4 linked regions of the Arabidopsis thaliana genome follow. The protein of the gene in region 3 interacts with the protein of the main gene of each other region in a pairwise test. Each region holds a gene or a part of one and is shown on either strand. Other genes may lie near its edges.

What was found.
Region 1: the proteins of AS2 (region 3) and AS1 interact in a two-hybrid assay, tested with the Arabidopsis thaliana proteins (4 studies listed by BioGRID, with this or other methods).
Region 2: the proteins of AS2 (region 3) and EMF2 interact in a protein complementation assay, tested with the Arabidopsis thaliana proteins (one study listed by BioGRID).
Region 4: the proteins of AS2 (region 3) and TCP4 interact in a two-hybrid assay, tested with the Arabidopsis thaliana proteins (one study listed by BioGRID).

The regions. Positions count from the first base shown.
Region 1 is NC_003071.7:15,780,688-15,785,333, forward strand, and holds AS1 (myb-like HTH transcriptional regulator family protein), read right to left. Parts: upstream 2,794-4,646; 5' UTR 2,594-2,793; intron 2,265-2,593; 5' UTR 2,215-2,264; coding exon 1,111-2,214; 3' UTR 555-1,110; downstream 1-554. Other genes in the region: ACT1 (actin 1), read left to right, coding at 1-377, 489-554.
Region 2 is NC_003076.8:20,821,785-20,829,655, reverse strand, and holds EMF2 (VEFS-Box of polycomb protein), read right to left. Parts: upstream 6,013-7,871; 5' UTR 5,698-6,012; exon of another isoform or gene 5,592-5,697; 5' UTR 5,504-5,591; coding exon 5,466-5,503; intron 5,294-5,465; coding exon 5,146-5,293; intron 4,929-5,145; coding exon 4,873-4,928; intron 4,727-4,872; coding exon 4,612-4,726; intron 4,515-4,611; coding exon 4,355-4,514; intron 4,263-4,354; coding exon 4,212-4,262; intron 4,005-4,211; coding exon 3,865-4,004; intron 3,661-3,864; coding exon 3,598-3,660; intron 3,508-3,597; coding exon 3,386-3,507; intron 3,144-3,385; coding exon 3,079-3,143; intron 2,981-3,078; coding exon 2,928-2,980; intron 2,820-2,927; coding exon 2,766-2,819; intron 2,683-2,765; coding exon 2,623-2,682; intron 2,203-2,622; coding exon 2,156-2,202; intron 2,073-2,155; coding exon 1,972-2,072; intron 1,805-1,971; coding exon 1,585-1,804; intron 1,429-1,584; coding exon 1,380-1,428; intron 1,305-1,379; coding exon 1,221-1,304; intron 875-1,220; and 7 more. Other genes in the region: AT5G51220 (ubiquinol-cytochrome C chaperone family protein), read left to right, coding at 6,531-6,698, 7,027-7,240, 7,338-7,504, 7,608-7,732. UniProt on the Arabidopsis thaliana protein: Polycomb group (PcG) protein. Involved in flowering processes by repressing unknown target genes and preventing reproductive development.
Region 3 is NC_003070.9:24,396,375-24,401,486, forward strand, and holds AS2 (Lateral organ boundaries (LOB) domain family protein), read left to right. Parts: upstream 1-1,768; 5' UTR 1,769-2,139; exon of another isoform or gene 2,140-2,940; intron 2,941-2,943; exon of another isoform or gene 2,944-3,338; 5' UTR 3,339-3,455; intron 3,456-3,721; 5' UTR 3,722-3,771; coding exon 3,772-4,371; 3' UTR 4,372-4,612; downstream 4,613-5,112. UniProt on the Arabidopsis thaliana protein: Negative regulator of cell proliferation in the adaxial side of leaves. Regulates the formation of a symmetric lamina and the establishment of venation.
Region 4 is NC_003074.8:5,059,744-5,064,679, reverse strand, and holds TCP4 (TCP family transcription factor 4), read right to left. Parts: upstream 3,000-4,936; 5' UTR 2,373-2,999; coding exon 1,110-2,372; 3' UTR 1,082-1,109; intron 1,000-1,081; 3' UTR 528-999; downstream 1-527. UniProt on the Arabidopsis thaliana protein: Transcription factor playing a pivotal role in the control of morphogenesis of shoot organs by negatively regulating the expression of boundary-specific genes such as CUC genes, probably through the induction of miRNA (e.g. miR164).

The sequences.
Region 1 (4,646 bases), on a different chromosome or scaffold from region 3:
CAGCCAAAACCAGCTCATCTGTTGAGAAGAACTACGAGCTACCTGATGGGCAAGTGATCACCATTGGATCAGAGCGATTCCGTTGTCCTGAGGTTCTTTACCAGCCATCTATGATTGGTATGGAGAATGCTGGTATCCATGAAACCACCTATAACTCCATAATGAAGTGTGATGTCGACATCAGGAAGGACTTGTACGGTAACATTGTGCTCAGTGGTGGAACCACAATGTTCCCTGGAATCGCCGACAGAATGAGCAAAGAGATCACTGCTTTGGCTCCAAGCAGCATGAAGATCAAAGTCGTTGCCCCTCCAGAGAGGAAATACTCTGTCTGGATTGGAGGGTCCATCTTGGCCTCCCTCAGTACCTTCCAGCAGGTACACACAGTCCCATCACTTGTTTACTCTAAACAGACCTAAACTAAATCCTAATCACTCTCAGCTTAACTAAACTGGTTCAATTCTGAAACTATGTGTTACCTTGTGCAGATGTGGATCGCAAAGGCAGAGTATGACGAGTCAGGTCCATCGATTGTTCACAGGAAGTGCTTCTGAGTTCAAAGTTGATCATTTTTCAGAGAAGAAGCACCGCCAGGGTTTTTCCGACCATTTCTCAAGCCGGGTTTTTAATCTTCCGTTATTCTGCTCTTTGTTTTTGTTCTCTTATGTTTTGAAATTCATGCCAAATACATTTTCATGGATTTATGGTAATCTGTTTGTAGTATGGTTTAAAATCTAATGCAACTGTGTTTTTGAGTGAATAAGTACACACCTCTTCCTCTTCAATTTTTCAATTATTATGTAACAATTTGTTTTCTGTCTTCTACTTGAATTTACACATGTAAAGATATAAATCGATTTTATTTATAAACCAAAGTGTTGCAGCTGACTAAATCAACATCAAGCTTGAGAAAACAAAGCCATGGATAAACTGAAGTGATAAATGGAACACAAAGGTAAAAGAAACAAATACAAAGCTGAGGTAAGGAACCCAAAAGTCTAAGTAAACATTGGAGACACCCAAATGATCAAAGACAAAAAAAAACAAAAAAAAACAAAAAAAAAACCTTACATTACATTACAAGTTACAACAAAGAGTTTAGGAGACGGTTCAGGGGCGGTCTAATCTGCAACCCATTTGTTGTTCAAGAAACTTGGTGAGTCTGATATGCCTAGAGGTCCATTGATCAGCCAGTTTCTGGTCTTTGGCCTCTGCGTCTCGCCTCAAACCAACGAGCTGTTCTCTGTACTCTCCTTCGATCTTCTCCATTGCGTTCTTCTGCTCTTCCCTAAGAGCTTTCATCTTTGCCTCAATCTCCTCCATCTTCTCCCTTTGTCTACACGTCTTCTCTGACTCTAGCTGCAGCTCCAGCCTTCTTAGCCTCCATGCAGCCTCTTTCTTATGGTCTGCCCAAGCTCGGTGCCCTTCCTCCAACTCTCTACAACACTCCACAAGCTCTGACAAGAACACACTCTCGCTACTCCCACTACAAGACGGCATCATACTCCCTAACACAAGTCCCCCTGGACCGTTCTCTGCTCTCTCAGGCTGTTGCTGCTGCAGCCACGGGATTGGCGGTTGAGGCGCAGCTGCAGCCACTGTGGAAGGCGATAATGTCAAAGTTACCGAGGGAGGCCTTGCAACAACATTGTTCCCATTGTTAGAAGTAGCTAACCAAGGCGGGATCACTGGGTTAGGAGGCTGAACTTGTTGTTCAGAATGTAAAAACCCTCCATTCGAATTAGCCATCACAACCGTTGCAGCAGCGGCAGCAGCAGGGACAACGTTAGACCGCTCTTTGACAAGCTTCTCAGCGAAACTCTCGAGAATCCGATCGTACTTACTCTCGTCAATAGGCTCAACTCTCTTGTTACTCTCTTTCTCTTCTCTCTGTTGCTTCTCCTTAAACACTTCCCACCACTTCCCTAACCGCTTTGCCGTCCTCCCGGGAACCTCAGCAGCAATCTTCTTCCACTTGTTGCCGTGTTTCTCCTGAAGACGGATCACAAGCCTCTGCTCTTCCTCTGTCAAAGACCCTTTCTTGATCCCTGGCTTAAGATAATTCTTCCATCTCTCTAAACAAGACTTGGCGTCACGGTTCAAAGGTTTGTTCATACGCTCAGACACAAGATGCCATTCTCTCGGACCGAACTGTCTAACGTAAGCACGTAACAATGCATCTTCTTCACCACTCCAACGTTGTCTCTCTTTCATCTCCTACTCCTCCTGACATCACTTCTTCCCATCTCACCATCCTTCTTCATCTGTACCAAATTCAAAATCAACCCGTTTCATAAATCTCTCCAATTCAAAACTCTAAAAGATCGAAACAAATCTACAAGATCTGTCGAATTTTCGAATTAGAAATTACAAAGTCTGAAAAATTTCCGTTTCAAGAAATGAAAATGACAAAAACTTTGACAATGTTTGAAGCAAAACTTGGAATAATTTGTTATTATCACACTATACAACCTATATTCTGGAAACCAAACAGGGGAAATTAATGCTGACCCCAAAACACTATTAAGCAAAGACTTATTAAGAAGATAAGAGAGTTAAAATTATTACTATAAAACAAAATAAAAATGCTTACCAAATGATATTGAAAAGATAAATAATCCCAAACTCAAGAGCAACTTCCATCACACAGATTTGCTCTCTCTCTCACTTTTTTTTTTTTATATAGTTGGAGAAAATGGAAGAGAGAAAACGAAAAGACCAAAGTGAGAGAGGCTTTTAAAACCAGACGACGTACACGATTAGACCACAGAGACGGCATAATTAAAATAAAATCTTTAAAAAAAAAAAGAGAGAAAAAGTTTACCGACTGAGACACAGACGTTTTCCCCTTTTTACATCACAAGTGGGGAAAAAAAAAACTCTGACAGAGGCGCGTGGAGGTGAAAAGTTGAAATTCCATAAGTTCGTTGTTTGTCATTGACAATATTAAACCTTTTTTTATATATATTTACTACATTGGGATCTCAAAATTCATTTTTCTATAACATTATGAGAAATAAAATGACAATCTAATGTAGGGGATGCTTTAAATTTAAATGAAAAAGTGTTGTACTTTAGTGGCTGAAAAGTCATTTACTTGTCAAAATGATAGAAGAAAAACTAACCATTCAAGAAAATAATGCTCCATTTATAAACTCCTTCACTCAAACAATAGAATTTTATGTCCAATTTGAGTAACATTAATTTCCACTTACCCATAAGAAAAATAATTATAATAGCATAAAAATAGTTAACATTTAAACTTGTTGATTTATTTTCCAAACACTTATATTTTGAAACAGCATATTAACATGGAAAAGTATTTGTTGAAAATGGAAGATTTCGCAATGATGATCAAATAGAGATGAGAAAATAAAGTTTTTGCAATGAGAAGAGATAGAACATCACTAATGTTACTCCCTATCAAAAAAAAAATCAATAATGTTGCAAGAAAAAAAAGAGAAATTTTATTTAAAAAATGAGCAAAACTAGAAATAATCAAGTAATTTTATAAAACCTTAGAAGATCTTTCTATTTGCCATTTGAAAACTTTAATTAGTAAAATAGATTTGGCTAAACAAATAAAAAAAACTTTTAGGCTAAAAATTGGATTTGACGTATGAGTAATTGGGGATGAGGGGGACACGTGTCAGAAAATGGGAATGGTATCTTTTGGGGAAAGCATGTAAGTGTGTAATAATGGTCCCCTTCTCTCTCCCATAACCCTACCAAAAATACTTTTCTTTGTTCCATCACATCCGACTACCACTACTCACTCACACCCTCCGTTTTTTTTTTCTGCTACCATGCGCCAAAATCTTCATAGCGTATTTTAGTATTTCTCCGACGTCTATAATCAGGCAGACAAAACTTTCACTCTTTTATCATTGCATCAACTAGTCACTCATCACCCCCAAGTATCTAGCTTATACAAATTAGGCAACCACATGTTTTCTATATAATATGATGTCACTAAGGTCTATTTATATATTATTATAATAAGATTATTGTTGACATTGTTGTTGTAATAGTGATACTGTAATACTATTATTCTAATAATGTATTTGGATAATTCAGTGTTGCATTATGTGTAATAGTTAATCGTAGCAGACACAGCATTACTAAGTCAATACATTTTATTTTCGATTTTTTTTGATAAAAATTTAGTTTGCAATGGTTTCCATTTTCTATTGTAATTTGTAAATCATTTCATCATGCAAACTTTTTAAGAGACATGACCTGACATTAAAAGTTCTTTTCACAAAATTAGAATGTTAACTACAAAAAAGTGAAGAGAATTTTCAAAATAAAATCACTACAAATATAGTAATAATATCTTTTTTTTTTTTTTTTTTTTTTACAGCAATAGTAGTAATATCTTTCCCCAACAAATTAAGCTGAAAAAATCAATATTCAAGAAACTAGTTTACTCTCAATTTTTTTTTTTTTTTTTTTTTTTTGTCAATCAGTTTACTCTCAAGTCTCAAAATAATACAAGAAATTATGCAGTGGTGTTGGTGTGATCTTACACAGAGGAGCGGAGAGAACAGCCAACATGGTAGGTTGATTTAACCAAAACAAGAAAAGTATGTTGATATGAGAATAGTGGTGGGCCTTGGATGGGCCTGCTTTGAAGGATAAAAAAA
Region 2 (7,871 bases), on a different chromosome or scaffold from region 3:
CATGTTTCCAGAGTAACATCCATGTCTGGTTTCCAGTGTACAAAGTCAATTAGTATTTCAAGTTTTCAACCATATGATATCCTAAATGAGTAAGGAACATGTATAAAGCATTACTCGAAGAACAAGCGTCAAAGATAAGCCAATGTACACATTTATAATTAAAAAAAAAAAAAAAAAAGATGAGGACAAATTCATGCATAAATATGCTCCTCTTTCTCTTAAAACACCAAAAGTAGTTAAATGAGAACCCAAAACTCTTCTTCTCTTGTCTTTCTTTGTTTTTCTACTTAAATTAATGATTTCTTGGGTTTTCAAATTTGGAGCTGTTCGAGAAAGGTATTACAGTTGTTCATGGTTCGGGCATCAAGAAGACCGTGGTTCCACAGTTTCACCATAAACACTCTCCAGCACCTACACAAAAAAAGCTCACTTTTATCAACAAAACCGCTTTCTTCTCCGATACACTGGAAAAAACAATGGAAGAAATGAGAGTTGAATTACCAAATCAAGTGCGGTGTTCGAACCATGATGGGTCCGTGCAATCTTGAGAATGCCTCGCATGCCCATGGAATGTGACCATCTGCTAATACTCTGCAAAGGGTCCAAAACCACTGTCAAGGTAATGCTTATAATGAGTCAGAGAACATGGATGCGTATGTTATCTAATTGTTCAGTTTTTTTTTTTTAACCAGAAGAACTCATGCAGGAATTATCCACAACCTTTACATGCGCGACTCTAAATGTTTATACTGGAAAACTCCACGTGACATGTACTGAAAAGAGATAAGACATACCGCTGCTTCCTCACAAACGAGTTCCACATGTGCATCATCTGTTTCTCATCTTTAGTCACATCAACGAAATCATCGAGCATCTGAAAGAATAGTAATAGGAAATAACGTTATTCACTATATGGAGAATCAGACAAACTATGTTAGAATCAACTATGTTAGAATCGAGTACAAACGGACACACTTCGTCTTTTAATGAGTGTTATATAAGCACTAATGATCTGGTTCTACTGTTCCATATCAAACCGTGAGGCTTGCTCACATATTTTCTATTGATCTCTGAACCATTACAATATTGCTCCTAACGTTTGCCCATGCCCAGTCTTCAATATTCCTTTCCCTTTCACATGAAACATATATCTACCCAACTACTGAGCTTTATTCTACCCAACTACTGATGCGGTGAAAATATTAAATTCAAAAACATACCCTTCTATCTTCAAAATCTGCCACATCATCATCAACTTCATCTTCACTATCCCGGTCCGAAAGTACTTGTTCTAGAGCCATGGGCTGCGATAGTACACATAGCAAAGTCAAAATCAATTGCAATCTTCAAAAGCAAGAGAGCTAAAGAAAAAAGATCACCTGAGCTCGATGAGAGTGGAAGAACTGTCTCTTCTGAAGGAGGCTTCGGCTGGAGGAGGAAAAAATTTGAAAAACTCACTCACATCATTTGGGATTAACAAGCTACTTGTTATAAAACTAGGACACAATTTTTCATGCATGAACCATATGTAGTTAAATATAAATTGAAGAAGAGGATAGAACGACAAAAGGAAGTCAAACATACTTCCTCAAGTCCGACCGTTCTATAGATATTTTCCTCGTTTTTGCAAACTGCAACATTGTACTTCCAGCTATCGACTGCACATAATCTGGATCCCCACATGATTGCACGTCTGCAGGACTCGTGCCAGGAGGAACTCTTTGACCAGACTCAGCACCCCCAATTCTTTCGTAATGCTTTCCAGGTGGTATTCGGCTCTTCTCACTTCTAACAGAATGAGCATCTGAAAGTAAGAATAAAAAGCTGTGCCAAATGATCCAACGTTGTTGCATGCAAAATTGCACATAACAAAGTAAAATACTCGTAAAATATACAACTAAGACAGGCTCTCATCACAAAAGAAGCCAATACTACAAATCCAATTAACTGTCATTTCAGTCAAACACATACCATCAGTCTTATCTAGCACCTCGCAACCTAATCCAAGATGAGGCCCTTGCCTTGAGCTCCGTACCTGACTCTTTTGCCTCCTCCGTCTGAATTTTTTGGAACTGTCACATATTGAAGAATTTTTATGGTCTCACACAGATGCTGGAAAGATAATAAAAGGCAACATATAGGCCAGATAACTTACGAAAAAAAGAAAGTTTGCTGCTTTGGGTCAACGTCATCCTCATTAACCTGAGCAGATTTTTTAATGAACATTAACATTTAGAAAACTGTGCTAAGAGTAATCATCAAATAGGAAAAACTACAAAGACATAGAATATATTGTAGAACCAACTACTTCAATTAGATTTGACACTCCTATATAATCCAGGACTTTATTCTACAGTCGAGCTTTGACGGTCTCATGGCCACAAAAAGTAAACAGAACAGCGATGTCATTTTGAGTTTATTCTCATCACGCTATTAAGGACAATAGCAAGGATCATAGTGTGACAAATAGCAACTAAAGATTCCAGTTCCCTTATTTAACCACACAAAAGTCAACAACCCATGGAGGATATTAGTTTAAATGAAAAATGAATTTGTTACAGCCTATAAGATATACAGCAGAGAAACTAATGAACATAAATCGAACAAACAAGATGTTCTAACCTTGGATATCATTGTCTCAGTCTTGAGGGAGACATTTACCGCCTGAAATTCTTCAGTTACCTAACCAAGTAAAGCAGATTAGTGGCACCCACAAAATAAAAAAAAAAGATCAAACAGGTTAACTGAATTTTAAAGCTACAAACCCAAAACTCGAAATTGAGGAGATCGTGGGTTGATGGCAAGTGATATCTCAGGCCCTACAACATGATTGGGAGAAAAAGAAAAGATTGCATCACTACAAAGACTAGTCACTACAGCTGTATCTTTGACTAAGAGGATGAATGAGAATGGAAATGAAAGTCCACCTTGAAACTGGCACATTTTACTAAGCAGAATGGACAAGAAAAGTCTTCAGTTACTGCAAGACACATAGCAAACATATACGTAACAGGTTAGGGTAACGGATGAAATATAGACACACATGGGTATGAAACAGGTTAAAATAATACTAGTTACCTTCAGTCTTCTGCAATTTGTTGTTATAGTATCTGTAGTTGAAAACTACATTTCCTGTTCTCAACCTATGCAATGAATGTAGTGGTATAGAGTCAACTTAACGAGATGGACATTTTTAGTTGTACGTAACGACTTGTATAATCCCCATAAAAGAGGAGGACAGTCACAATTCAAGAAAACTGCCAACTATATATTAAGGGAGATAGCAGACCGGCCAATATATTTTATACAATTACAAAAAATCATAATGAGATGAGGCAAGAAATCTGAGAGCGCAGAAGAAATTGCAGACTAAACTGAAGATTACCTGATAATTTGCAACAAGGAAGAGGAAGAGATGTCATTATATGAAAATGAACTATAAGGAGATTTTTCCGTTGACCCAACTTCTTCTGCAGATATGGTGACTTGCACTTGCTGCGGAGAGCTCTTCAAATAAGAAGTGTAAGAATTGTAAGAATATGATTACATGATATTTCAGAATAATGTATGGAAGTATAGCAAAGTGTGCAAAGTTACCGAGGTGAGTGGATTGCTGGGCACCTGAATCGAGACACACTTTTCCTCACTCATGGACTTTAGCTGCAGCAATGGACAAGTTATACCAGTAATATTTTCATTTAAATAATCAAGACTGAAAACTAATGGCAAAAATAAAATTCACAGTAGCAATTACTTCCAATTTACTTTTTCAAATAACAAAAGAAGTTCAATACACAGTCCTTATTTCAATACAGGGAGCATAAAGTCATAGAACAAGAGGAAGACTTGGGCAATAGTGTTTACCTTTATGAAGCAAGGCTGCATTTCAACAAGAGAGACTGTGTCTACTCTCTGTCCCAAGTCCATGTTTGGTGATTTCTGCCACGACGCATACAGTGATTGCAGAGGTATTTTGCTCCATAAACAATGTCCTCCTATATTTCCTGGCAGAAAAAAACGCTTCCGATGGTAAGAGTTAATGAAAAAAAAGACTTTCAGAAACTCTTATAATTGGAGTCAAAGAATCCCTAATTCTTTTGTTAATAAATAGGACTGAGATTTTCCATACTATTACATGGAAAATTGGTAATGCCCAAAGATACATAACTTTTCAATATTAGAATGTTATATCAATGAAGAAATGGAAGTACCTGAATGAATCTTGCCTGAATCAATGCCAAATTGAGAATTTTGCGCACCAGCTACAAGAAGAAAATTATGTGATCAGTTTATCTGAATACTGTACATATATAAATGTCTTTATATAATTTTGTACACAGTCAGTCTTAATCACCAAAGCTGATAAACAAGATAGCGAGTGATCCTGATTTTGCCTCCAATGCGAGTCTATTCATATCAGGGAGAAGAAAGTTGGCTTGGGCTTGACTAACTCCATCAACCCCCAATCCACCAGTTAGGATACATGCTCGACTGAACCTATATACTGCAGAATACTATAATTTGAGAATTTCAAGAAAAATGTTAGCAAAGAATAGGTAAGTTACAAATAATAAAGATCAATGCAAATCTGTCTGAGGTTCAAATGCATACCTCAGCGACAGGCTTAGGAGAAACGAGTCTTGCCAACAAAATATACAGAGGGAATAATTTTTGAGTTTGTACCCCAGCATCTATAGCGCCCGAGAGGAATACAGTCATTTGTATTCTGCAAAGCAGTAATATATATTGATAACTATCCGAAAACTTAGAAAGCATTCAAGTCCGGAATGAATTACTAAGGTATAGTGTAATAGTTACCCAAAAGTAATGGAGATTCTGAACAGAGAAAGGAAGGAAAAAAAAAAAGCTTACCTCCTTTTATGTTTTGCCTCAATCTTATAATGCAAACATCGCTGAAGAAACAAGGGCTACAGGGGAGACAGAGAGAGAGAAATGATTAGGATGGACTGCATAGCAAGACAACACATACTTGCTTATACCAAATGAAGTCAACTCAAACTACATTTTCATGTAAATTTTCATTGTCAAAACTCAAAAGTAAACCAATACATGTGATATATCAGCTGAGCTCATAAGTCATAACTAAACATATTCTGTCTAAAAAAGGTAGGAAGGAAGACATACATTCCTAATAGCACGGCGTTGAATGATATTGTAGAGTTCAACAGGCTTGCAATAGGCAGCCAAGCTCTCTTCAGCAGCAATCTCCTCCTCTTCCGAAATACGCAGACGGGAGTCTTCATGGCACATCTGCTCTGTGCTTCTTGAACAACTGTGATTTCACCATCATACGCAACCAAAATTGTAAGCAACCCCACAACAAAATAAAAATTTGATAAGTTTGAATTACTAGGATTCCTCAGCTTATACATAAGAGAAACAGTATAAAGTTACACAATGCTGCAGAGACATTATAGAAGCATTAGGTTGTTCATGAGACTTACGAAGAGGTTTCACGACTAACAAGAGGAATGCCTGGCATTCTCGCTACGAGATCCTAGAGTACAATACCATACCCAGAATCAGTGCATACACCATCACAGATTACAAATTTGCTTCAGCTACAAAAGCTGCAACAAAAATCGTAAAGAAGAAAAACCCAATAAATCCCACAACAGCAGAAACGGGTATCAAGCGATTAGCAGGAAAAAAAATGTAAACTTGAACAGTGGTGACCTTCAAAATCCAGCAAAGACTCGGAGTTGAGCTAATTAGATAAAGAACAGATTCAACAAATTGACAGAGATCTCGAAATCAAGGAGAAGGTGAAGATTAGGATGGAGATGGAACAGTTAACTCAGAAGAAAAAAAAAACCCTAATTGTGAGAAATTATCTTCACGCGAATACAGAGGTGACTTTGACAGCTTGAGAGAGAGAAAGAGAGAGATGAAGCGTTTCGAAGAGTAATAAAAAGTGTAAATTGATGATATTGTTGAGGAGACCGTAAATATTTTTGCTCTTGAGAAAATAAGCGTAAACCATGTCCTAAATCAGTAAAATTCGGTGCACAATAAAATCTAATTAAAACTCTTTTCACTAATTGAAACTAAATTCCCCAATGGCCATGAGAAAGCATAATTTCTTAACTATTCAATATAAGCCACTTGAGTTCAAATTAGAGATCCACCAAAAAAATGGATGACAAAGTAGTCATAGTTCCTTATCCCCCTAAAATGATAATGGTATAAACAAACATATTTTATGGTATCATCAACTCTTACTATCTAAAATCGACCATCAGTTTCGTGTCACCAATATCGGTAAAATGTGTTTGTTTTTGCATAACCAAGGTTTTCCGTTCCTAATAACGGCGTAAGTTAGCACTGTAATTGAATATCTGGCCAAATAGACGCTAACGTGGACGACTACCTAGCCCCATCATCAATCACACAGAAAAGGAGTCGGAGAGGGTTTTTCGCCTAGGGTTTTAGAATTCGATCTTACTCATTCAAATTTCTCCCTTCAGATTTATTCATCTGTTGAGTAAAACCACAAGGGTTTCTCTCTAATGTTGCCCAGATTAGCTCGAGTCGTCACTCAAACCTCAAAGCTTCGATCTTTGACCACTAATGGATCGATGAAAAATCTCTCCTTTTTCTCCCGATATGGGTACGCGACTGTTGCGCCGGCGGCAGCTGATCCTCCGTCGCAGAAGGATTTCCCCAGTAAATCTCCGGTATGATCTTAAAGTGGTAACATTTTGTTTACTCAGATTAAAGATCTCGTTTTCAGAAGTAGCTGTTAATGCGTAGTTGTTGTGAATGTTTAGGTCTCACTATAGTATTCGAACCTAAGCTCAATTTGATTCTCTCTGTTTCTAGTTTCATCGAATGCGGGACTAAAGTGACTTCTGCCTCCCCATTGTACCTCATTTAGGATTCATCCCTTTTTTTCTGTTGGAGTTTCATTAGTATGTTTGTGATTTAGATTCATGCTCTTTTAGTCAACTGCTTCTGGACAATCGTGTCTTCTTTGATGAAAAGGATTTGTTCTATGTTTGACAGATAAACTTGGATAAGATGTTTTGGTCAAAGCCATGTTCATTGGCTCTGCCTAAAGACTCTCCTCTCAGAATTGATGAACCAGACTATGTAGGGATTCGTCGTTTCATACTAAAGATGATGATGTTCTATAGCAAACAGAGCATGTCTATCCGTGGGGCTAACGTGATCTACAAGCGGATCATTGCACAAGTTGATAAACCTGCAATATATGATGGTACTTTATTTGGTTTCCAACACAACTTTTGCAAACAGAGTTATGTATTTACATTTTGTGCTTTGTTTATATATCGGGTGCTCTGTCTCTGCTGCAGTATTCAACTTGGAGAAAACATTCAAAATAACGTATTCGCTGCTTGTCCTTCATATGTGGCTTGTTTTACGCCGCTTGAAGGAAGATGGACAGGAAGGTGTTGACCTTGGTCAATACGTCTATGAGATCTACAATCATGATGTTGAACTCAGGGTATCTAAAGCCGGGGTACGTGCTAGACTTGGTTTTGCTTTAATATAGTTTCGAAGAGATATCTTAGTTTCTTAGATTCCTTAAAATAAGATGGTCTTAATCTTTCTTGAAATTACAGGTTAACTTGCTGCTAGCCAAGTGGATGAAGGAGTTGGAGAGAATATTTTATGGAAATGTTGTTGCCTATGATGCTGCGCTACTTCCGGAAGCTAAACCAAATGACCTACAAATCAAATTATGGAGGTAAAGCTTCTATAACGTCATGCTTTATGCAATGAGTTCGGTAGAGATTACACAGCTAAGTAGCTCGGCTTGAATTTATATACAATATGGCAGCCATAGATAACGGATTTGTCTCAGAACCTTATATGCAATTGGATTG
Region 3 (5,112 bases):
AGAAATTCGATCTAACTTATGTCGAGATGAATTGCTAAAAGAACCATTATCCCAAGTAAAATGTATTAGAAACCTCATACTTGAATGAGGAACCCTAAAATATGTATAGAGGATTGTGATAATGTACTCACTATCAATATAGTCAGTTATAAGTTAGAATTCTGTTAAAAGTGTTAAAATAATGTTTTGTTTCAAATACTTAGTTTATCAAATAAACTTTTTTAATCTTTTTATGTCACCATGAGTTATCTGAATAAAGATGTTTATATATCCGCAAGACTAGTCAAAAGTGGATAGCTCCATTAACTGTTATAGTGTAACTATTCTAGTGTAACAATTCTTAGAAGTATTTGGTTTTACTATTTTAGTCTTACTTTCTATACTTGATTGTTCAGGTAACATTTTCAAAATTGGAGATGATTTTACTTAATCGTAAACTTATTACTTATATACTAAAAAGCTTGTAAGTAGGGCCCGAAATGTGGAAAACATTGTAATTTAAATCCAAACTAGTTTTAGAAGAAGACGCAATGTATATATAATAATGGAAAAATATGAAAACGATATCAGCCAAACATACTTATTATGAATATTAATTGGAGAGAAGGAGTGTAACCATCCATATGGTGTGAATTCTATGATTTTTGGACCCATTGTTATAAACGAAGGAAGAAGACAAAGAACATGAAGACATGAATAGTTTTATTTCAAAAGTAATGAATAAATATATAAATAAAAGGAATGGTTGTCGTTTGAAAATGGGTACGAGTAAATAGTGTTGCAGACTCTGCTCCAACAGTAATTACAACAATGCAATATGCAACCACGACCCACTTGCTTCTATTCATTTCCCATTCTTGTTCTCTCTCCAAATTGACTAATGTTTTAAATGTTATATGATCATGATAACCATTCTTTTTTCTCTTTGCACGCTTCTTCGTTAGGTTAGGTCGTACGTAAAAAGTGATGACCTAATCGTAGAGACCAACTAAATTTCGGTTCTGATTACTTAATCGAGTGTTTAAATTTGCTTAACTTGACATTTGTTACCAAGAAAGGAGAACTAGTAGTGAAAAAAGAGAGTTTAAAACCTTGACAATCGCTTAACCCAAAGTTTTAGAATATTTCTGCTAGTACATAAGGTAAATGTACACATTTATTGTAGTTGTTGTATTGGTTGAATTTGGCTCTGTTGGTTGAGGTTTCAGATTCATAAAAAAAAGTACTGTAGTTACTAGTAAAAATGAACTTGAATTATGGTTGTATTGTTGTTATACAAAAATGGCACACTTTATGAAACCAACTAAAAACAAGTATCCATTTCTGATAATAACATTTTCGAGGATTTTTAAGATATACAACAAAATGCAGAACTATATACAAAGTCTTGTGTCTTGAGAATGTAACTTCAATTATTAACACCAAAATGTCTAAAAACCTAAAGCATCTAAGAAACGGTGCCACTGTCTCTAACCCCTTTCTCAACAGTTCGATACAAAACTTCCATTAATGTTTTTCTATTCCCTTCACATTTGGAAATTCAAACTAAAAATGCATAAACAAAAAATACTATAACCTCATCTTAAAAATTACTAATGTCCCAGTAACATTAATCTCATAGGGTTACTAATCATGGGTTATCTTTTAAACTCCAAAAACAAAGTAGGTATCATTATATAAACAAGTTTCATGGTATATCTCCTAATTTTCCCGTAGAGGAAAGTATGAAGATATATATAGAGAAGAAAGACAGAGTCCGTGATCACTCACTCTCTCTCTATCTCTATATATCGACACACCATAAAAGTTGTTCTTTCTCTCCGTTTCCTTAGCCTCTGCATCTGGGCGATTTTCTCTTTCTATCTCCCTACACCTTAGGGAGTACTGATCCTAAACTCATCATCTTTCTATGCCTTCCTCTTTTCTTTCACTTATTTTCTTTTCTATTTTTTTTCTTTCTTACTTTGCGTAAAACTAGCGAGTCAAAAATAAAGACACTTGCATGATCCTAATATAATATTATATATTGTAATTAGAGAAAGAGAGAGAAGAGAAGAAAGAAAGTGGCAGTAGATTCTTATGGATTTTGGTATAAAGAAACATGAAAAAATGGGTTTGACCGAAGAAACTTTGAGGACGGTAACTTCATTATCAACTTTTCGACTGTATTTATATTTTAGCTTTTGTCAAACCGTATCATATAATATTAATGCGAATTACTAGTAGAGAGTATAATAATAGTAATAACAAAATGCTTGGTTACTGTATGTAAATCCCTAGACAAAAAGAATAAGAATAAAAAGAGCAAAATTCTTCATCCCAAGATCCATCAGGAGAGTCAGAGTCAGACCCCATCTCTCATTTCCCATCTCTCCTTTTCACATTTATTTCCTTTTTTTTCTTTCTAGATACTTTTTTATTTTGAAATTTAATACTAATAACTATACATTTATTGTTATTATTGTTGTTAGAGTCTATGCTAGGGTCCAAGGGTTCATCCCAATATCCCTTCTTCTCCTTAGAAACTCGCAACTTCTTCACATGGAAATCAATTCCCTCTAGTACCAAATCCTATTACTATTGAAGGTATACTCTATAGTTATTTATTTAGTTAAGTATATATATTAAAAATAAATAACATTAATTAGTACTAGTCTTATCATATTTATTAGCTCATTTTCTTATAAAATACTAATATAATAGGAAATTTAAGCACAAGATGAGCTTTGCCCATCGAGAGCCTCAAAACCCAAAAGTCTCTTCTTCTTCACGAGATCCAATCTTTTGCTTTTTAGTAATTAATTACATCTTCTTCCTTCTCTTCTCTCTTCTTCTTCCCTCTCTCATACCTACCTATAAGCAACACAAAGAACACCATTGATCCCATCTGTTTTGTTCCCTATATTTCGTTAATCCATCCATACGCATTCCAACTACACGGTACAAATTTCCATCTCTTTTTAATTTGTTTTTATAATGATTTTAAATCTCTCAGGTTGTCTCTAGACTCTTAGGTCTAGTTACCAAAATTTGACTAGCAATCATATAGCTACAAGTTCCTCTATATCATATAGCTACACATATCTCTAGGTCTGAAATGATCTTTTATCTCCCAAGCATATATTATATATTTGGATGCATACCTTTATGTTTGACTTTCGAAAAGCACCTTCATGTTACTCATTTTTTCCTCTATTTGCTTTCAACAGTTGACAAGAAGGTTGGATCAGTATATATAAGTATACATATACACTTATGTGTGTGTGTAGTGTATGTGCATATATAGCTCACCAAATATCTTTAATACTACTAATTGCAAAGTTTCTCTTATTTTACAGCTTTTTGTATGCAACCCCAAATAGCAGCTTAAAGAAAGCAGAGAGGATCTTCTTTTATTTCCCCTCTGAGCAACAGAAGCCATTATTCAAAGAAAGGCTTCTTTAATTTACTCGCAGGTAAAAGCTTTCTTATTCTATAGAGATTGAACAACTTTTTTTTTTTTTTAATTGACAACAATAAAGATTGAGCAACTTCTCTACATTATTTCTTTCTTTATTTTCTCACTTAATTTCATATTTGATTACAAAAACAGATAATGTAATATCTCCAAAATCACAATTGATTTCATAATATCTTTTTTTGTTTCCTTATACCTTCTACCTCCAAAAACTAAATTCAAAAACCCTTATTTCTCTCAATTTTCAATGGCGGCTTTGTGTAGGGAGAGGGAAAAGAGAAAAAATTGAAAAACTCCATTTTCAAGTCATTAAAATGGCATCTTCTTCAACAAACTCACCATGCGCCGCTTGCAAATTCCTCCGGCGAAAATGTCAACCGGAATGTGTATTCGCGCCCTATTTCCCACCGGACCAGCCACAAAAATTCGCAAACGTTCACAAAGTGTTTGGAGCAAGTAACGTGACAAAGCTCCTCAACGAGCTTCACCCTTCACAACGTGAAGACGCAGTGAACTCTTTGGCCTATGAAGCCGACATGCGCCTCCGTGACCCTGTCTACGGCTGCGTCGGCGTCATCTCTCTCCTCCAACATCAGCTTCGTCAGCTTCAGATAGATCTCAGCTGTGCTAAATCTGAGCTCTCTAAGTACCAAAGCCTCGGTATCCTCGCCGCCACTCATCAGAGTCTTGGCATCAACTTACTCGCCGGAGCAGCAGATGGAACAGCCACCGCCGTGAGAGACCACTATCACCACCACCAGTTTTTTCCTAGAGAACAAATGTTTGGTGGCTTGGATGTTCCGGCCGGTAACAACTACGACGGTGGGATTCTTGCCATTGGACAGATCACTCAGTTTCAGCAGCCGAGAGCCGCCGCTGGAGATGATGGTCGCCGTACTGTTGATCCGTCTTGAGATTTTAGGGTTTTGGTGGTGTTCATCTTCGTCGATCGCTTGGTGATGAGAAAACTATAATTTTAAGAAAATATTTGATGTGGAAAACCAAAATATTTTAAACGTATGGTACGTCTCTCTTAATGACATTAATTTCGGTTTTTATTATTATTATTACTTAGATATATTATGATAGTCACTTTTGTATTTCTTTCAAATTTTATGGACTTGCTCTCTTAATTGATATCACATACTTGCATTATAGAGTATATTATTTCCAAATATGTCGAGTCTATTGATCCGCATATGTACCTCCAGCAAGAATATAGACCTAAATTCAGTTAATCATTGAGTGATTTTAATGGTTAATGTTAGACTTCTTAAGTATTTAAAAAACATTATTAGTAAAAATTATGAATATGAAATATAGTGTATACCATGTAGATAAATGTATTATAGTGTTTTCCTTTTATTTTTTTTGTAGTTCAAATTTTAAAATTAAATAATAAAGGAAAACTATTAAAAACATTTAAAATTGACATATTTATATAAATGATATTTGCAAGAAAAGAGGTTTGATGTGGAACACTGTCAGCGTCAAGGATAAGATTTGATGTAAGAAGAGGCTTAACGGAATATAACATGAACATGAAACATCTTATCTCCGGGCGAATTATACCCACTAGCTCTTTCTAGGCTTTCTCTCTAATTAAAAAGTCTCCTTCATCTATTTATGATGACTCTATTTATTGTTGTTGTAAA
Region 4 (4,936 bases), on a different chromosome or scaffold from region 3:
TTAGACCTTTAAATTGAAGATTCTTCTTTTCTATCTTTTGATGTAAACGTACTTTATGATATCTCAACTCATCCATCTGGTGTGTTTTGATTACATCACATGAAAAGGTGTTGCTGCTTTTCTATTAAAAGGTAAAGTTAAATATTCTTATAATACACATGCATTTAGACCCCAAGTGTTTTTGACTAAACTTTGCAAAAATCCAATATTATTATCAAAAGATGATGATGATAGAGAAGATAGACTAGTTTTGATCAACTTCCTTCATTTAGACCAACATGGGTGGCTCTCTTTACCTATCTCATGTCCCCATTCTTTTACTCATCAAAGACAACATCACATTCAAGTTTGGTGGATCTCCTCCTACCACTAAAGTAGGTGAGAGAGAACAATTATTGACATCAGACATAGAAAACAATAATCATATTTTTACTCTTAGTGAGCTAAGTTTCACTTGTAATTTAAGGGAACTGGCTAAATCCCCCTGATGTTCCAGAAGAAGAAACAATTCAAAACTTACTGTTCATGGAAAATGACCAACTTATATCTCTTGGGACCAAAAGATTACGTGAGAAATAGGAATCTCATGTTGTTTAAATAACAAGGATCTAGCCTGAACAGAGCAGTAAAAGTAAAACCCAAAGAGAAAGTTTCAGACTTTATTAGAACATCCACGGAGTTACACAATAAGAACAGGGAGCAGTAACAATAGGATGATGATGATACAAAGTTACAAACATAACACAACAAGACGAAACCTTGGAATCTAACCATAATTGAGCTACAGAAGAACGTTGGTCTAACTGGTGAAAATATGAAAAATTACAATCGGCAAGGTTAAGATATTGGAAGAAGAAGAAGAAGAACCTGAAACTGTTGTTCTTTCTTCATTTCCTTGCGTTTTCTAGATTCAGGCCATTGACTACACAAACCGAGAACACCTTCCCTGTTCCGGACAATCTAAGTCAAGCTTCAATGTGCATGGAAGCTAGACAAGCCCTGCAAAATGGTTTAAAGTTCAATGACCAAAGAAGTACAAAAGTAGTGAATTTGATGTAAAAGGACAGAACTTGAGATAAACCTGAAACTTAGAGGATTAGTTTCGATTGTCAATGGCGAGAAATAGAGGAAGCAGAGGACGGCTTGTGAGTGAGACCGTCGTGCTGCTCCTCTTCTTGGCCCTGAAACCGTGCTGGTATGCGAAAACCCGAAGAGAATTCACCTGAGGCGAATCCGATTCCGGGGATTGCTGATTGGTGAACCGGTGGAGGAAGGTGATGGTGGTGGTTGAGATCGTCGGTGGAGATGGATTGGTGATGATGGTGAGGATCAAACCAAGCACGGATCATGGGACTGTAACTGGACTGAAGGGGACCCCTCTGAGAATAAAGCTGTTGGCTTTGGCCAAGAACTGGCTGAAACGACGTCGTTGAAGGAGTAGGAGGAGCGAACAGAAACCCTCCTCCGTTTCCTGTATCGGTTGCTCCGCCGCCACCGCCGCTGTTCCAAGCCACTAGTCTCTGAATCCTTCCGAATTCCGACGACTGCTGCTCCCAACTCGATGTGTCAAACCCTAACGGATTGCTCTGTCCGTAGAACAGAGTAGGCTCGGAGGCGGAAGCAGAGGTGTGGTGGTGATGTTGGTGGTGCAGAAGCGACGGTGGACCATCCGGGAACGATTGCAGCGAGAGACGGAGATCTTGGTTTTGGCTATTAGTTCGAGAAAGCAAATCCGGCGGATGCTGATGATGATAGTTGTGCATAAGGTTATGATTCGAAGGAGCCTCCGTTGAAGAGCCAATCACCGGAAAAAACGACTTTATAGTGTCAGCTATCGAATCTGAATCCATTGACGGCGGGAGAAAACTCGACTCGTTGTTACTCGGATGCTCTGCTCCTCCTCCGTTGAAGCCAACACCGAACTGAAGCTGTTGTTGTTGTTGTTGCTGTTGCGGCGGTGGCGGAGACGGAGAGATTTGGGTTTTGGCGGTGGTTCTTCTGGGTTTAGCGTTAGCAGCGGCTAGGCGAATTGCATCGGCGGGATTCCAGGGAGGAAGCTCAGCGAGCTCGTCAATGGAAGTCTTAGCCTTTTTGATAAGCCAATCAACGGCTTTGCTAGGTCGGTCGAAACCAAGCCTGTCTTGAACATCGTAAAACTGAATCGCCGTGTGAGCAGAGAGTCTCACGCGCCGGTCACGTGGCCCTTTAGCCGTGCAGACTTTGCTGTGGCGGTCTTTTCTTCCGGTAGACCGAACAATGTGACCACCTTGCACCTCAACAATCTCGCCGCAGCCGCCGTCCGCCGCATCCGACGTAGAACGGTGCCTCATTGAAGAAGGAGGCGGCGGGTGATGGAATTGGTCGTCAGACATTGGTAGAGCATATTCGTCGAGACGGCGGCGGCGGCGGCGACGGTGGTCGTCGTTAGAGGGTGAGGAATCCAGAGTAACTCAAAAAGGATGAAACTCCCGCATACTTGCTCTCCTCACCTCAAAACCCTAACCCTAAAAACAATCCTAAGAAGAAGAGGTTTAGTGAAAATTGTGGACTAACCCATATTTGAGAGAATCTCTCTCTTTTTTTCTATAGCTTAAAGTCTCTCTCTATTGTTTGGTCTGTGTAGTAAATAGAAAACGCAAGAAGGAGACCAAAGAGATGAAGCAAGCAAAGCAAGCGAAGGTGAGAGAGAGAAGAGAGAAAGGGAGATGTGTAATTGACCAATCAAGAAAAACCCAGAGAAAGCTTTTCTTTTTATTTTTCTCTCTCGGGAAAATGGTTAAAGAGAAAAAGTAAAATAAGCAGAAGGAAGAGGGAAGAGGAAGAGAGTGTTGTGGGTTTGATGATGACGCAACTGGGTAAGATGACAGTAAGTGTTTTTTTCCTCTCATCTCCACATTCAATACTTTTATTTTTTCTTTCTTTCTTTTTTGGGTAACCAAAGCTTCCTCGTTTCCCAAATTTATTCATTTTTTTCCATTCTTTGTTTAAAAAAAAAATCTGATTGTTATAAGGTTTTAACAGTAAGTATTCATTTTGTTCATGTTAATTTTTAAAATCAATGTTTAACTTAATGTGTAGATGCAAATACAACCAAATAATAATCAACACAATCATAAACTAAATTGTAGGATGCCAAAATATTAGAAAAAAAATAATAATAATAATAATGATGGTTTTTAGAGTTAGATGTTTCCAAAACCAAATTTGTTTACCAAAATAATAGTATAGGATTTGTTATGTGCATGCAAATCATTATGTTATTTTCTAAGAGAATACATTAAACAGACTACTTTAATTTAGTGTGATATAAAAATACTAAGATGTGTTAAAACATCTACTTTTGGTCAGAGTTACTAACTTCCTTGATATGAAAATGGGCACTCTTTTCGTGGACATGTCCACATACATACATAATCATGGGGATTATATACTTAAAAAGTTGAAATCACTGGAATGAACTAGCTACTTTATTTTTCGAGTTTCCGAATTCAATAAATGAATAAATACCCTAAAAACCTATGGTGTTAGATGGGTCAAGGTTCAATTCAACCTTTTGTGCTTCTCGGTTTCTTTTAAGGGTTGACCCATGCTAGTTCAATGCAAATACATAAAGCTTGTTGATGCTCCACTTCTTTTTACCTTTTTGTTGTAAGAATCTCAATAGTTAACTAAAGTAGATTTTATTCGAAAAATCGAACTCGTTAAAAGAAGAATATAATATTAGTTAGCAATACAATTAGGGCTCTTTATAATCTAAGATTTTCTTTTTTCATCTCTCATCTTCGTTTTTGATGTTTTTGTTTTTTGCAATCCTGTTTTAGATTCTATAAACTAGTAACAAACACAATAAGACTCTCGTTATTCTTTGTTCTAAAATCCAATACTTCTTTTCTAGCTATTTTGACTTGTGGAACTAATTGATTTCACCGTATCGTGTTCGTGTGCATATCACCCAAATTCATATATGAAAGGTATTTTGAAATTGAAGAATACGACGTATAAATAAACTAATAAAGGTGAGTAAAAGACAATCTAAGCTTCAACGGAGACATTTCTAAGATCTTGAGAATTTTACGAGTTCAAAAATAATTGGTGGGACTCTATAATAATAGTATAATGCTTCTTGAATCCCAACCAATTTGACTATAACTCTCACAACTAATTCATGTATGGAATATATTGTGGTTATAATACTTGTACCACAAAATATCTCCAGATTGGTGAAAAACGAATAAATACAACAAACCTATTATATTGTTCACACAATTTTGTAGCATATTAAATTTGAACACACGTACGGTAAGCTAACGTAATTTTCAAGTAGTTGAATATGTTTTTTCTTCAAAGCAATAATAAAAACTTGACGCAAAGGATCATAACTATATAATTTTTTAGTTGGAAAAATATATATAGTATACAGCATTATTTGATAGTTTAAAACTATTCATATAAATAATTACTATTAGACCACCTACTTTAATGTAATAATAAATCAGAAAGTGACATATTAGCATGATAGAAAAGGGTCAATTAACAAACCTAATACGAACACAATAAAATAATTAATCAAACAAAACAAAATATAATATTTAAACATGAAATAGGTTGTTTAGTAGAGAAAAGGAGAATATATGTCATCCCACGGTTGCATATTAATTAAATGTAAATCAAAAGTAGCTTCCACTTGGAATTACGGTCACGATTTGCAACACAACAAAATAGAATGATTACGAGAGATTTAAATTCTTAATTATGGGGAAATTTGTATGAAATGCAATAATTAAGCACAATAATGTCATTGATTATTAACGTCAGTTTTAGTTTTTGACATCAATATTAATTAAATGTATATATATACGCCTCATCAAAATGATATTGTGATCATCAAAGTAGTTGACAATATGGCCAAGTAGGCAAGTAGTATGTATGGATCATC